Linked DNA regions of Struthio camelus. The protein of the gene in region 2 purifies or fractionates together with the protein of the main gene of each other region. This does not show direct contact. Links are inferred from orthologs where the notes say so. Each region holds a gene or a part of one and is shown on either strand. Other genes may lie near its edges.

Region 1 (7,763 bases), on a different chromosome or scaffold from region 2:
AGATGCTTTTCCTCCAGCAGAAAATACACCACCTGAGGAATGCTACAAACAAACCACAATCTGCATCTTAAAGTAATCTTCAGGTGAAACAAGTCAAGAACAGTTGCAGCAAAGGAGGCACAAGAGCCTTGGTAACCACAGTAGAGAGCTGAGCCAAGTCTACCACATACATTTACATCGGGGTGGCCTAAGGCCTTTGTCAGGAAGATTACCAGGATACTATCTGCAAGCAGAAAACTGCAAGACACTTTCACAAAGCTCTAACATCTTTGTGATAGCCACCTAGTTTTATATCGATGGGTAAAATTGGTTAGATTATGCCTCATCTATCCTCTCCTGAAGTTACCCCCTTCCAAAAAATGTAAAACATTAAAACAAAAAAAGCACACAGTCACCCACCAGAAGAATTAGACTAATACTAGAAATTAGTTCTAGAGAATTTCTTCTAGGGTCTAAGTGCAGGAACTGATAAAGATGGGGAGGAAGAGGAGGGTATACAAAAAAATCTAGGGAACAATCAGACGAACAAGCAGCACTAGAGATTCATTAAAAATTCTTGCCAAATATTTTGAACAAAATAAAAGTGGATTAAAGGAATAAAAAAGGAAAAAAAAAGAAAAGAATGTGAACTTGCTCAGTCTCACAGAGATCAAAAACTGATTAAGTCTCTAACAGTGAAAAGAGAGATGATCAACCTGCAGGATGGTGAAACATCTGGAAGGACCCAACACTGACTAAGCTACATTTGCTCTAATTTGATTTCTTCAGTACTAAACTGAAAAGAGAAGCAATTGGCACATTAGCTAAATTTAAGAGCAGCTACTCCAATTTCAAGAGATCGTAAATACTATCTCTGACAGAAGCTTGAAAGCCTAAGTACGTAGGCAGAAAAGAAAAGGCAATTCTACCAGGGAAAAATGAAGACTATTATATTCGAAAAACATGCTCTAAGATACATGTGAAAAGAAAGTACCTCTACAATATAAGTGTATTATATGAAATAGTAGCTTAAAAAAAAAAAAAATCAACTAGGGATTTGGGAAGGGAAAGTGGGTTATAAAGCATCTGTGAGCACAGGGAATGATCCCTGGAGAAAGAGGACTTGTTAACCACATAAGATCTTTCCTCCCTCCTTTGTGATAAAATTATGAGAGAAAAAGATACTAAAGTTACTCAATACCAGAGACATCAAATGTTCACACAAGAATGAAGGAAGTACAGTGGTCCCAAACAACTTATCCCCTGAACATTCACAGGCTCAACTAAGAAATGCAGCTCACAGCATTTTACTTTATTGCTGTGGGGCAAGCGCTCTCAAGAAACAGTCTGAGGAGGCAGGCAATACCTGTGAAGGATCAGTCACCCGCAGCGTAACCACATCTTCACTAGTATATTTGATAAATAGATGATTCTCATCCAAAAGCTGCATCTTCCACATGCGGAGCTGCCTCAGCTGATCGAAGTACTGGAAGAACCTTCTTTTTGCTATGGCACTTCCATCCTGCTCTGCCCTTCTCCACAAGTACACCAGCAGCCTATGCTTCAAAGAGTTTATGAAAGGCTCTTTGTAGGGGTTGGCCATCCCTGTCTGACTGTCCCGCTGCACCTCAGGATACACCGCAGACAGAGTCAGGAGGTCATCCTCATAGCAGAAGCGGCCGATAGTCCGTACATCAATGAAAGTACCCTCAGGTGTTACTTGAAAGACATGAATAGTCTGTTGCTGCACAGAGAGAATGGCCAAGATGTTTTTATAAAGGTACAGGCCCTGGTTGTGAGACAGGATGACTTTGTCACATTTGAATGTCCTTGTGTCACAGAGTCTGCCTGTGTGGAGGTCTATGATATGCAAGGAATAGTCTTCCAAAGGGGACCGGGGATTAGGGGTCACAGACTCGCTGTTGCGGTAAACCTCAAAGAAGGGAGGGTGAGGCTCCTCAGGCAGGTAAGCAGCAGAGCCGACAATCACATACCGACAGTCGTCTGTGAACAAGCTGCACTCGCGGTTCAAGTGCTCGCCATTGGAGGCCACATTGGTGATATGGAGCAGGACAAAGAAGCGTTCAAAGAGCCGCCCCCGAATGTTGACAGATCTTTGGTCGTTGCCGTTGGCCAGGATCTCTCCCTCATAGCCTTGCAGAAGGTCTTCTGCTGCCTGGCAGCCCTGATATTCATAGATCTCCAGGGAGGTCTGGTCGGAGGAGAAGGCGATGAAGTAGCGCCCATCAGGGGAGAACTTTCGCAAGAAGCAGGGGGGCTTCTCCACGTTGACCACGGTGAAGTTGGGGAAGACGTTCTGGTGGAAGACGCGGACTTGGTGCCAGTGGGTGCCGGCTTTGCCCGAGCTGATCCGTCGGCGCTCCAGACGGTGGATGACGTTCTGGTTCTGGATGCGGCGGGGCCTGATCGTGGGGGCGTCATGGTCCATGGTCAGAGCACTACTTCATCTTCACCCTGCTGGGGAAGAGAGCACGCACGTGCCCCGGGACCTCACAGAGACCAGCAGAGAAGATGGGGCAGCAAGGCACCCGCTTGCTGCAGCTGGAGGAGAGCAAGGGGGGTGCTCAAGGGACCCAATGGGTGGAGGTGTGGGGGGGTAGGGAGCCCCCAGGGAACGCCGGGGCCCGGGGGGCGAGGGGGGCCGAGACGGGGGCCCCGGGGCACCCGCTGGCGGCAGACACGGGGGGGCGACGGAGGGAGCCGGGGGCGGCAGCACAGGCGGGGACCGGGGGCGGTCGGGAGCGGGGACCCTACGCACCTGCCTGCCGAGGGGCCCGCAGGGACCCCGGGGCCCGGCCGGGCGCCGAGGGGTGCGAGAGGGCGCCGGGGAGCGGCAGCCCCGGCTGAGGACCCCGGGGCCCCGGCTGCGCTCAGCGCTCGGGCCCGGCCGCAGGGTCCCGGCGCCGCCGCTCACTCTATGGCCGCCGCCATCTTTCCGCCACCGAGCGACGAAGGACCGCGACGGCGGCGGCAAGAGCGTATCACCGCTCCCCCCCGCCCCCGCTCCCGCCGCCGCCGCCGCCGCCGCCTTCCGCTTCCGCTCCGCCATACCAGCGAGGCGAGCCGGAGCCCGCACCAGAGTGTCAGCAGCCCTGGGCCGACCCCCGCCGCCGCCTAGCGGGTGGAGGGAGCGCCGCGGGGCGCGCGCGGGGCAGCCCTGCACCCCTGCGCCCCTGCACCCCTGCGCCCCTGCACCCCTGCAACCCCCGGGTCCCGGCACCCCTGCACCCCTGCAACCCCTGCGCCCCTGAGCCCCTGCACCCCCCCGAGTCCCTGCGCCCCTGCACCTCTGCACCCCCCGAGTCCCTGCACCCCTGCACCCCTGAGCCCCTGCACCTCTGCACCCCCCCGAATCCCTGCACCCCTGCACCTCTGCACCCCCCGAGTCCCTGCACCCCTGAGCCCCTGCACCTCTGCACCCCCCCGAATCCCTGCACCCCTGCACCTCTGAGCCCCTGCACCCCTGCAACCCCCGGGTCCCGGCACCCCTGCACCCCTGCGCCCCTGCACCCCTGCAACCCCTGCGCCCCTGAGCCCCTGCACCCCCCTGAGTCCCTGCGCCCCTGCGCCCCTGCACCCCTGCGCCCCCCCGAGTCCCTGCACCCCTGCACCCCCCGAGTCCCTGCACTCCTGCGCCCCTGCACCCCTGCGCCCCCCCGAGTCCCTGCACCCCTGCGCCCCTGCACCTCTGCACCCCCCGAGTCCCTGCACCCCTGCGCCCCTGAGCCCCTGAGCCCCTGCTCCCCCCCGAGTCCCTGCACCCCTGTGCCCCTGCACCTCTGCACCCCCCGAGTCCCTGCACCCCTGCACCTCTGCACCCCCGAGTCCCTGTACCCCTGCGCCCCTGAGCCTCTGCACCCCCCGAGTCCCTGCACCCCTGCGCCCCTGCACCCCTGCACCTCTGCACCCCCCAAGTCCCTGCACCCCTGCGCCCCTGCACCTCTGCACCCCCCCGAGTCCCTGCACCCCTGCGCCCCTGAGCCCCTGCACCTCTGCACCCCCCCGAGTCCCTGCGCCCCTGAGTCCCTGCACTCCGAGCCTGAGTCCATGCACCCCTGAGCCTCTGCACCCCCTGGGCACCCCTGCACCCCTGCGTCCCTGCACACCAGAGCCCCTGCACCCTTGAGCCTCTGCACCCCTGCCCCTGCGTCCCTGCATCCCTGAGCTCCCACACCCCTGAGCCCCTGCATGCCATCCCTGCACCCTGAACCCCTGCACGCCTGCACCGTTGCAGCCCTGCGCCCCTGCAGCCCTGCACCCCATTCCTGAGCCCCTGTGCCTCTGCACTCCTGAACCCCATCTCTGCACCCTCCCACATCCCTGCAGTCCTGTGCCCCTGAACCCCTGCACCGCTGCACCCCTGTGCCTCTGAGCCCTTGCATCACTGAACCCAATCCCTGCACCGCTGTACCCCTGCATCCCTGCATGGCATCCCCGTGCCCCTATCCCTGCACCCCCTGGGCACCCCAACCCTCTTGGACATCCCCTGCACCCCGTCCCTGCACCCAGGCACCCCTTGCATGCCGAGCACCCCCCCATCCCCCTGAGGGACACCCCTCTCCTCCCTGCACTGCCCTGTTCCCTGGGTACCTCCCTCGCTGCTTCAGCACCGTCAGGGGGATCCGGCCCCACTGCCCCACATGCAGCCCCAAACCGCACGCAGACGCCCCCCCCCCCCGTGCCCCCACACTTGTATTCACAGCTGCTTCGGGCAGTTGTGCGTCACCCTCCTTCCCCAGGGCACCTCCATTCAGCGACATCCCGGGGTGGGGGGGGGGACACCGTCTTCTACCAGCGCCCCCGAGACCACCACCTCCTGCCCTAAAAGCTTCCCCCGATGCTGGGTGTGGAGACGTGGGCTGCGTTTTCCCTGTCCCCCATCCCGGCGAAGGCTCGTGCCCTGCAAGCCGTGCTTGAAGGCATCCTCCTGCGGGAGGGACAAGTGTGGCTGGGGGAACTGTCCCTGCAGGTTTGGCAGGGCCCGGAGAGCCGTCTGCACCTCGGCGAGAGCCGGCGGCGGCCACGGCGCTGGCCTGGCAGCAGGGAGCCGCTCGGCCGCCTTGAAGCCCCGGTGCAGCGTTTGCACCCGCCGGCGGGGAGCTGCCCGCTCCCCGGCACCCCCGGGATGTCCAGCGCGGCCACGCGGTTCCCGCGCCCGGGGCTGGCTCCTTTCTGAAGGGCTTGAAAGCTTTCCGCTGCCGGCGGCTTTGGGCTGCAGCCGGGCGCTCGCCCCTGCCGAGGCTTTTAGCGGCTCTCCTGCCGCCCGGCCCCTGCATTAGCGGCCGGCGGCCAAGCGCGAGCCGAGAGGGCACTTGTCTTTCAAAGGGAGCAGGCGAGGGGGAAGGAAGGGAGAATGTCAGGCAGCTCTTGAGCCCCATTTGCCACCTGCCGGCCCGTCCTCTCCGCCCGGGCTGAGCGGCTCGGTGCGCGTTCCCGGCACCGCCGCGGCGCAGCGAAGGGACGTGGGGCCGGCGGGCGCCGAGGTGGCTCAGCCCCGGGGGCGGCCGGCGCTCCCAACGTTTTGGGGCGTCCGCCATGTGTCGGGGGGCTGCGGGGCGCCTGCTCGGTGCCACGAGCTGGGCTCAGGCCTCGGACGGAGCTGGGCAGCGCCGGGCGCCAGGACCCCCGCCACGGCTCCAGCTCCCCCCGCCCCGGCACAGCGGTGCTGAGACCGCAGGGCCCTTCCCGACCCTCCGAAGGCCTCTCCTTCTGCGCGAGCCCTGGGAACGGCGCTGGGCAGCCCTGAGCGGCCGCCGCCGCGGTGGCCAGCTGGTGGCATTACTGCCGTGCGCGCAGGGCCATCCCTGCCCGGGCTGGGCACGGGAGGTGCAGCAAGCAGAGGCGCTGGAGAGGGACCCCTTCCCGCAGCGCCGCCCGCTACCGCAGCGTGCCGCGGAGGTTCGGGGGCTCCTCGGCCCGGCCGGCTCCCCGGCGCCCCGCCAGCGCGCGAGGGGTGGGCGACAGCGGCCAGACGTGGCACGAGGCGTGTGGGAGTTAGGGACGACACGGGTGAGAGCATCCTCCGGCATCCCCGCCGAGCCCCGAAACTCCCTCCCTGGCAGGCTCCTGCCAAGCTCTCCCCTTTCCCGTCCCCTCCGGACACCCCCTCTCCTGGAGCCGCCGCGGCGCCGAGGGGGAGCTGCGGGGCGGCGCGGGACCCCGGCAGCCCCGGCGCTGCCAGCGGGAAGGGAAAAGCCCCGCGTAAACAGGCAACGGCCCCCAGACAGCACGGCGAGCGGGGAGGCCGAGCGCGGAGCCGCCCTGGGTTTCCCCTGCACCGAAAGCGGACGGAGGAGCGCGGCGCCAGGGTGAGCCGGCGTTCGGCAACAAAAATAAAAGCTGGGAGGGCGTCGGGTGAGGCCGTTCCCGCAAACCGAAGCCGAGCGGCGGGATCAGTGGGACCGCGTGGCGCCCGCTCCCGCCGCGCTTTCGCCCGCCGAGCCGCCGGGGCGCTTTCGCCGTTTGCGCTCTTCTCGCCGCGTCCCGGCTGCCGCAAGCGCGGCTGCAAGACGGCGACGACCGGCCTCGGCGCCTCTCTTTGTCTCTCTCCCTCCTGCGTAATTAATTGAGATCCACCTTAATAGGATAAAACTAAATACCAAAGAGCATCCAACCACACAGCAGCTGGCAGCAAAACAACAGCCGGGCGCGCACGTACAGAAAGACAGCTCAACGGACAAAAGGCCCATTTAATACAGTAGCTATTAGCGGTTCCTGAGCTAATAACTTCAGGACCACAGTCTTCCCGCGGCCGGGGCCAGCCTGGGGCGATGCGGAGCGGGGAGAGCAGCCCCTCGCAGCAACGGTTTCGTTAATCATGGTGTAAGATACGTCTCGTCACGTCTAAACCGCGTGCGCCTTCGGCAGCGGTTGGCGTCTAGCCAAAGCTGGCGGCAAAGTTAGTCCCTGCTCGCGCGGGTCTGGGGAAGCCTGGAGGCAACGGGTGGTGGGGCTGGAGCTGGCGCGATGCCTCCGACCAGCATGCTGAAGGCCAAGGGATGGAGGCGCCCAAGAGACGGGGTCAGGGGGAGACTGGGATTCAGCGAGCAAGGAAATCAGGGGTGGTTTCTCAGATTTTAGGAAAAGTTTTCTCCACCTTCCACCAGCAGACAGCTTTAAGGTGAGCTTCTCGGGGCTTCAGTGGAAAGTGCCCAGAAGGGTAAGCTGGCGAGTAAGAATATCTCTGTGTATTGAAGAGAGAAGGGGTGTGGAAGGGGCGCAGGGCCTGTGCTCAAGCATAACGATGCCTTTTCTTGATGGGTTTAGCCGTTGTGGCAGGTGACAACATCTGATGCCTTCACAGGGGCCTCCTTGTCCCCTCTTGGGGTGTTCCACCGGGAGCGATTTTGTACCTCCTGCCACGTTTCATGCCGGCTGTTGCCCAGCTTTCCCGAGGACCGGCACGCGGGCAGCCCGGCACAGCACTCAGGATCCTGTGCCGGTGGGGTCGGGGGACACGCGGCCATTACCACCATCATCTGCTGGGGGACGGTGGGGAGCTGGGCATTGCCCAGCGCGGTGGAGATGGGCAGCCCCAGCCCAGAGCCGAGGGCTGGCGCGGGACGTTGCTGGGGGCTCATACGGGGTTTTACTGCACTGCTGGCAGCTGTGCAGAGCACTGGGCTGCTTGGATTGGGCTCTTACTGAGCTGTTTCCAGCGGAAAAAGCATTTAGAAGAGGAGCCCTGTGCTTTACTGCACGCCCTGCTCCAGCGCAGCGGAGGGGTGGCAGCCCCGGCTGAGCTCAGGCGCGTGCACGGGGGC
Region 2 (7,667 bases):
GTTTCACGTACACTTTACAGCACCCATAGCCCAAACCATAGGCATGAGTTAAAAAAATCACAGTACTGTGACTTGCAGCAGTCTGCATCTTCGTCACACTTTTTCACTATCACGACAGCACAGCTGAAAGAACGAGAAAGTCACGTAAAAGCTGAACACGGTGGATTAAGAAAGCGATATCAATATAATCAGTATTCCAAAACACATAGTTGTGTATACGATATTTTAAGTTTACTGCTTATTAATTCTACTCTGTATAAACACTTGGAAGGAAACCCCTAAGAAACATACATGGAAATGCTTAATTATATTACTGGCTTTATGGTTGCCAAGAAAACCTTCCTACTTTGAACTAATTCAGTGATGTCTCTCTTGGGCTTAGCCAGTGGGTTTTTAAGAGAGTTAAGCCCTCTCTTGTGCTCACATAGCTCAAATTTTGCTCACATAGCTCTATTCTGATAGAGGGAAGGAGGAGAGAATTTAGGGGGAAAGTCACACGTACATCCATGCCACCAATAGGTTAAATTGGCCCAGAGTTCATACTGTATTAAAATCAACTTCTACCTATTTAAACATTAAGAAACCAAAAATCTACAGCCTCATGATTTCTCCAGAAATAACAAATGAAGCGAAGTAGGGTTTCCTTTTTCCCCAAAAACAAGCATTCTTCTACAATACTGGCAATACCCCCACATCGCTTGCATCACAAGAATCTGCAGAGACAGTTAAACACAAGTGAAACTTGCTTGTTTTCACTAGCAATTAGCAAGTGAGCTACTCAACAGCAAATAGTAGGATTTTGAATTTTAGGAAGTTGTACAGGTTGTAAAGGATGTTATTTCTATCACAGATAAAGGCATATTAAAAATATTCAGCTTGGGATCTGAGAATAAATAAAACACAGAGTTGCTAGATTTTCAAGTGATTCAAATACCAATTCATAAGCAATGATGATCATGACAACATGCAATTCACGAGATTTAGCAAGTATTTTAAACATGAAGAGCTGACTTCCCTTAAAGATAATAAAAGAGTACAAGCAGCAGCAGAGTGGCCTTTATTCCTCGCTATCATGCATCATCAATGCAACATTTAAAGTAATCAGTCTCATTAAGTGACGATGACACGTGAGCATGGGAATTGGAGGGGAGCACGTTCTTGAGAGTCAGGAGGACCTTAAAGCTTACCCAGCAACCATGAATTGCTGTAACACATTACAGTGGCTAAAATAAGCCCTTCTTTCAGCGATATCTTTACAGGACATCTGTATCAACTGTACGTTTATATATTAGTTTTCATCTTCGTAATATTAAAATCTTTAAAAGATATAACAACTCCCTGACAAAAAACAGACATACCGGGGAAAAGAAACATAACTCAGGAAAAAAAGCTACTGGACCAGTATGGAAGATAGTAAGAGGTAGGAAACCAGGAAAGCTCCCGATTTACCCATTTTATAGGCAAACCCACAGGACTTTAGGTCCCTGAAACTAAGTTCTTTGTCCACACCTATTTGTAACTTATTTACTAGAACATCAAGCAACATCAGCAAAAAGTTTAATTTCTCCATTTCAGTTGATCTCAATTAATGATACTTTAGCAGATCTAACACCTGTTTGTTGAGAGGGGTTACAAACAACAAAAAAAAGCCATAAAAAGGTTAAATAGTAGAAGTTGCACCACGGATATTGCGACAAAAACACCTGGCAAAATTCTGAACTACCTACTTTAAAGACAAGCAGGAGAAGTGGAAAGGAAATCCGCCATAATAGCCTCATAATCACCTTAGTTTCAATATTTAAACTAAGCACAGACAGATTAACCTATAGTCAGACAAAACAGACGGGGCAAGACATACAACTCTGTTCCCCCCCCCCCCCCCAAACAAAAAAAACCCCTGCCCCACAACCTTCTGGGAAGACCTACCATAAACCGGGCTAAACTATACACTGCGCCCTGAATCAGAATTATAGGAAAGCAATGTCAAACTACAAGTTCGAATAAAGGTGGTTTACACACTTACGTAGTAAAATATTTCATTTAACTTACAAGTTAAGGTCTTCTCCTCAACAGGTAAGAGTGAAAATAGTGAAAAACAATTCCAAGCAACACATTGTAGTAGTCAAGACAGGCACAGGACTGGGCAAGTATGCATCATAACACATCATTTCCCCCTTTACATACAAACAGAAATGTTTACCACAGAAAATCATTTCCTGTAAAACCTGGACCTATATGAAAGCCAACCGCTTTTAATGTTGAAAACAGAACACAAAGTCGAGCGCCAGCTCCTCACAGGTTGTGACAAATTATGGCCTGTTACCTTTAAAGTTCTTGATCACTAGTTTCTTCGCAGAACCAGGTTTACTGTTGGCAAAACTGGAAACAGTAGAGGAGGCAGCTTTGGTCAGGCCATTTGCATGATGCCCCACAGCCACTGAAGAAATTAAAAGGCTTTTATTTTTGAGCTGTTGTTGGTGCTGCTGTTGAGAAGAGGCAGCAGGAGAGGAGGAGGAAGATGACTCTTCGGCCATCTTCACATCGAGTCCAATAAAATCCAAGGAGTCCTCAAAGCGCAGCTTCTTCTGGAGGTGATGGTTGGAGGAGGCAACCCCTGAGGAGGAGCAGGAGGACGTGGTGATGACGGAGGAAGATGAGGAGTTGTTTTTGGAAGGAGAAGAGGAGCAGGAGGAAATGGAATCAAATTCTTCTCTCTCAGAGTTGTTGCTGCTGTTATTTAACTTTCTCTTCTTGCAGGAGGAGCTGCTGCTGCTGCTGCTATTACCATCAGTGGCAGGTCTGACCTCCTGAGCTGCTGCTGGGGGGTTGGGGGAAGAGAAACCTGTGGGAAACATGAACACACAGAAGTGAACAGGCTGAGGGGCATCAAATCCTGGTGGTGTGACGAAGGGAGAGAGAGTGAGTCTCTGTTTGCTGTCTCCCGGGGGAGTCTTTCCACTCCTTTCTCTCTCCTCCTTTTATCAGCGGAGCCTCTCCGCGCTCCCTCTCCTCTGCTCTCTTCTTCGGCGGAGGAATCGCTTTATCTCCCCTCTCCCCCTTTTCCGTGTTACTGTGTTTCTTCTCGCGGTTTGTCTCAGCGCTGGCGCCTGTCTCGGGGAGCGGCTCCGTTCCCGCCTCTCTCCGCCGCCCAGCTCCCGGCCGCTCTTCTCTCCAGGGCCGGCGTCTCCCCGCCGCCGCCGCCGCCGCTCCCCCGCCCGCTCCCCGCCGCCTCCGGCCGCCGCGTCTCCGCCGAGCAGCAGCGGGCAGGGCCGAGCGCGGCTGCCGCCGCCCGCCTCGCCTCCAGCCCCGGGCCCGCCCGCGCCGGCCCCGCGCCGCTCTGGCCGCTCGCGCTCCGGCGGGGACGGCCCGGCCCGGGCTTGTTATTGTCAATACAAGGCGGAGAGGGAGCCTAAAGATGGCGGCACATCCGGTCGCCGGGCATGCTGGGGCGCGGCCGCCCGGAAGCGCGGCCGGGGACCCCGCGGCGGCGGCAGCGGCGGCGGCAGGCCCCGCCCCGCCCCGCCCCGCCCCGCCGACCCGCGCCGAGCCGAGCCGCCCTCCCCGCGCGCCCTCCCCGCGCGCCCTGCTGCCGCCGGCGGCCGCGGCGAGGCCGCCTCCTCCTCCCCCCCCCCCGCTCCTTTCCGCTACCCTCTGACCTACCGGAAGTAATCATGGTTGCCGGCAGCCGGTGACGAGCGCGCTCGTTACCCCCTAGCGCGCCGGCGTGGGGTGCGTCGTGCGGAAGGGGGCGTGGCCTCGGCCCTCCGCGTGGCGGCAGCGGGAGGGGCGGGGGCGCGGCTTGGCCCTCGCCAGCCCCCGTAGCGCCGCCGACGCGGCCTGCGCCTCCCCCGCCGCCCCCTGAGGCGGCGCTGCCGGTGGCGGCGGGCGCCGAGCCGGTCCCTGCGGTCCCCGCCGCGGCCCCGGCGGCAGAGCGGGAGGCCGAGGTCCTTTCTGCGCTTGTCGCGGTGGCTTCCCGCTGAGGTACTTCGGGACGAGGCTGCCGCTAATCAGCGCTGAGGGCGAGGGGCGCCCGGGGGGTCGGCCGCGGGCCCCCTCCCGCGTTTGAGGCCTTTGTCTGTTAGCTTGTCTGGGAAATGGAGGCCTTTCTTTTTGTGCGCTCATTCGGTATAAAGAAAAGTTATAATTATTTAGTGTCATCACACCGCTTTTCTTGCGGGTTTAACATAAACGGGTTTGTGCTGGGCTGGAGCTTAGCACTTAAAAAACAAAAAAACTTGGAAGCAAAAATAGCAGCTGTGAGCTGTCCGCGGCTTTGTGTCGTGCTGGTGTTGTTCCGTTATCCAAAGAAATGCGAACTCTCCACGAACGCTGTTATGGTTCAGTCAGAGCTGGGAAAGAGCTGCAGAAAAAGTAACAAGACAAGCTGTGAGGTTGTACCGGGGGAGACTCTCAAAGGACTTCTGAGAGCTCACACCTGCCTTTCTGACAGCGAAGCTGCGCGCTGGAAGGCTGTCGGCAGCCGTGGTTCTGGTAGAAAAATATACGCTGGCTTGTCTTGACAGAAACTGTGGTTCATGAATTTATTTAATTTTACTTGAATGTAATTTTCCTGAGTTTTTTTTTGGAGCACATTTTCTGTCTGTCAGGTGGCTCCTGAGGCCTGAAACCTAATCACAGTGTTGTTCAGAAAAGTACTTTTTCCAGATTTAAAAAAAAATACGTGAGTTTGTTTCTGACTGGATACAGAACAAGTTATATAGTTGCAAAAGCCCTAATGAGTTACAGTCTAATTCATATATAATAGAAATAAACAGATTTGGTAAATAAACAAAGCTTTAAGGGTTATACTGTCAAGTTTTCCTCTGTTCTCAGTAACTGTCATGTTTACTGAAGTCAAATTAAGTCAGAGGTGTAGCGGTCATAGCTTACCTTTCTCCAGAGTCATGACTTCTGAAAATGAGTATAAAGGGGAGATGTGCGTAAGCATCCCCTTTGCTGGAGAAGCAGCAGGGTTATCCTTTCCTCCTCGTTGTTCCGTTAGGCAGCAGTCAGCTACTCGGGCGCTGTGTCCTGCCGTTGATCGTACACGACTCCTTAGCTCCTAACCGGTCGTGGTCTGGGGTGCCATGGAGAGAGGGGAATAGGAGGGAGGGTCCTGGGGACTGAGGGGGAAGCCAGCTGCAGTGGATTTCACCACTTTCCTGCTGAAACAGGTGGAGGAGAGGGAAAATTCTGAATCCTTTGTATTTAGAATATGATCCTGCCAAGTCATCTCCCTAGGAATAGGAAGGGCTGTGGAGCTATTTGCTAGATGTCCCAGTTGCTTTGCAGGTCTTAGCCAGCTACCGTGCTTTTAAAATTCTGTTACTTAAAGGTGACTGTGCAGCCGTGCAAAATTTCAGTTTAAGGGCTCAGTATCTTCTTCAAAAATTCTTCGTACACACAAGTTTAGGTTGGGCAAAGAGTTAGCTAGCCCTGAAGTCTGTGCAGCTGCACCAACAAAAAGCCTTCTCTTGGAAGAGAAGGTGGAGGTGCGGAGACCAGACTGGAGATTAGCTCTGCTCTGAAGGGAGCCAGTGAGCCAGATGAATTCAGCTTCCAGAAGAAAGGAGATGAGAGCTTCCTGTTGACAAAAGCCATTTTTTGAGAATTATGAGCTGATCTTGCTGTTTTATGCTTGTGTGAAACCAGTGGTTCACATGGTTTCAATGAGACGTGCCATTTATTGGGAGTTATTGAGGGTAAGAGTTTTTGCCTTAGGTTTCTAATGTTGTGTGTGACAGTATGATGAAATTTTCACTACTATTTTTTAAAATGTCACCACACCTGCAAGGATTGTTAACTTGGCAAAGTATTATTAAAACAAGGTATTCTGAGGAGCACAACAAACGTATGGAATAGTTTGTCCGTGTGACAATTTTCCCCTCTCACTTTCTCATCTGAGCATGAGCAATATTACTGTGCTTCAGTTAAAACTGGATCCTTGATTGTAGCTTCCTATTTTAAGTAATGCTATAAAGTAAGAGAGTATTTTGAAGTTAAATGCTTGAGTGTTTATATAATGCCACAGTTCTTTCCTCTCCTGTTTGTTTAAAATCGGTGTTTGTAACTCTGTATTTTACAATTGAATAAATTATACCATTTATAAAAGCTTGATTTTATTTTGTATGGCTACTATTGTTCTGAGGTTAGGTTTTAACTAATTATATAATATCAAGATTGACGTCCTTGATTGATTTCCTTTTGTGTAGCAGTTAGCAAAATGATGACCTGCTCTTTTTTGTCCTTTCTTCCCTCCCCTTTACGTCAGTGATAATGTTTCCATTACTCTCAAAGGAAATAGAATTGTGGCCCGTGTATATCCTGCTCCTGCAGTTAGCTGTATAAAGAACAAAATCATACGTGTTTGCTCTTCGAGGTAAAGAGCAATATGATAAAATCCCCTATCTATGGTTTTCATTGTTATTCACAGTTACTGCAGGCAAAACATAACTTGATCCTAATAAACACTGTAAAGCACAGTGGTCTGCACCAGAACCCATTTCTGTGGCGGTTGAGATCTTCACGGGAGGCCAGGTTTGCTCTGCTCCTCCTCCACCCCGAAGGATGGCATGTGTCACCGTCGCCTTATCCCCTGACAGATTTCCTGACTGGCTCCGGTATCCACTGTTCGACAAGAAACACACCTCTTTCACAATCCTGTAGATCAGACCTTGTTTCCTGTTCTCAAACTGGAGAAGAATAGCTTCTGCTTTGCTATTTTGAAGGTGGCTGCAGTTTTTTTTTGTTAAACATATTTTGTGTTTAAATAATATTAGTGTTTATTAACTCTTCCTTTCTCTTTTGAAGTTTGTTTTTTTTTTTTCACTCAGAGTGGTATAATACCCAAGAAAACAGTGATATGTCTGCAAATAATAAACAAGTTGTTCTTATGAAAGCAAAATAAAGACACTGTTGTGCAATAGGCTATAACATGACAAAAGGGCATGCCAAAGATCTTAAAATGAGATGATTTCTTGCTCCATCCATCATCTCTCTTCACGTTCTGACAAACCTAGGTTTTTACATAGGCTTTAAAAAGCTACAAGCAAAGTATCTTTGATCAATTTGAATACTTTAAAATGGTATGGCAGTTTTAAGAAATTTCTTCAGTTTTAAAGATAAGTCTGTCCTTTGTAGCAGTTTTGTAGTTTAGAACAAAATCTTATTGGAATCAGGAGCATGAGAACAGTAATATTGGATCAGGCAGGTACGCACCTACTGCAGTCAGAGAATGTGTTCGCAAGGGAATTTTAAAAAATCTTTTAGAAAATACATTTGCCCTTGGGGGAGAGTGACTTTGTGAAAATGTATTTTAATTCATACCATCTTGGCTAAGCATTACTGTTATTTTTATATGCATATAAAATGTCTAGCATAAACAGTTTTGCCCATTTAAGTGGCATGCTTGAGCTGAGAGTCCCTTTTGCAAAAAATGAGGTGATGCTTTTTAAAAACATGATTTTACTTCCAAAAGTGATGGTGTAAAAATAGTTTCTTAATAGGACTACGCCACGTTTGAAGTCCGGTTGTATCTTGCTGTCTTGAGAAATAAAAACAGCTTTACTGCTGTAACTCCTGAACGTCCCACAGCAGCGGCGCTATGGGGAGAGTGTCTGGGTTTGTTTCTCGCGGAGCTGCAGCCACGCTGTGGGCTGAACTGATGT

The links. The genes of interacting proteins can lie anywhere in the genome.
Region 1: the proteins of CUL4B (region 2) and DET1 purify together in Homo sapiens (affinity purification with mass spectrometry; 3 studies listed by BioGRID and IntAct, counting the BioPlex papers as one, with this or other methods). This does not show direct contact. The link is inferred for Struthio camelus from reciprocal best matches to the Homo sapiens genes CUL4B and DET1.

What each region holds. Positions count from the first base shown.
Region 1 is NC_090953.1:9,549,392-9,557,154, forward strand, and holds the start of DET1 (DET1 homolog), read right to left. Parts: upstream 3,012-7,763; 5' UTR 2,759-3,011; intron 2,458-2,758; exon of another isoform or gene 2,455-2,457; 5' UTR 2,429-2,454; coding exon 1,346-2,428; intron 1-1,345. UniProt on the Homo sapiens protein: Component of the E3 ubiquitin ligase DCX DET1-COP1 complex, which is required for ubiquitination and subsequent degradation of target proteins. The complex is involved in JUN ubiquitination and degradation.
Region 2 is NC_090952.1:11,849,132-11,856,798, reverse strand, and holds the start of CUL4B (cullin-4B), read right to left. Parts: upstream 3,004-7,667; 5' UTR 2,856-3,003; coding exon 2,324-2,855; intron 1-2,323.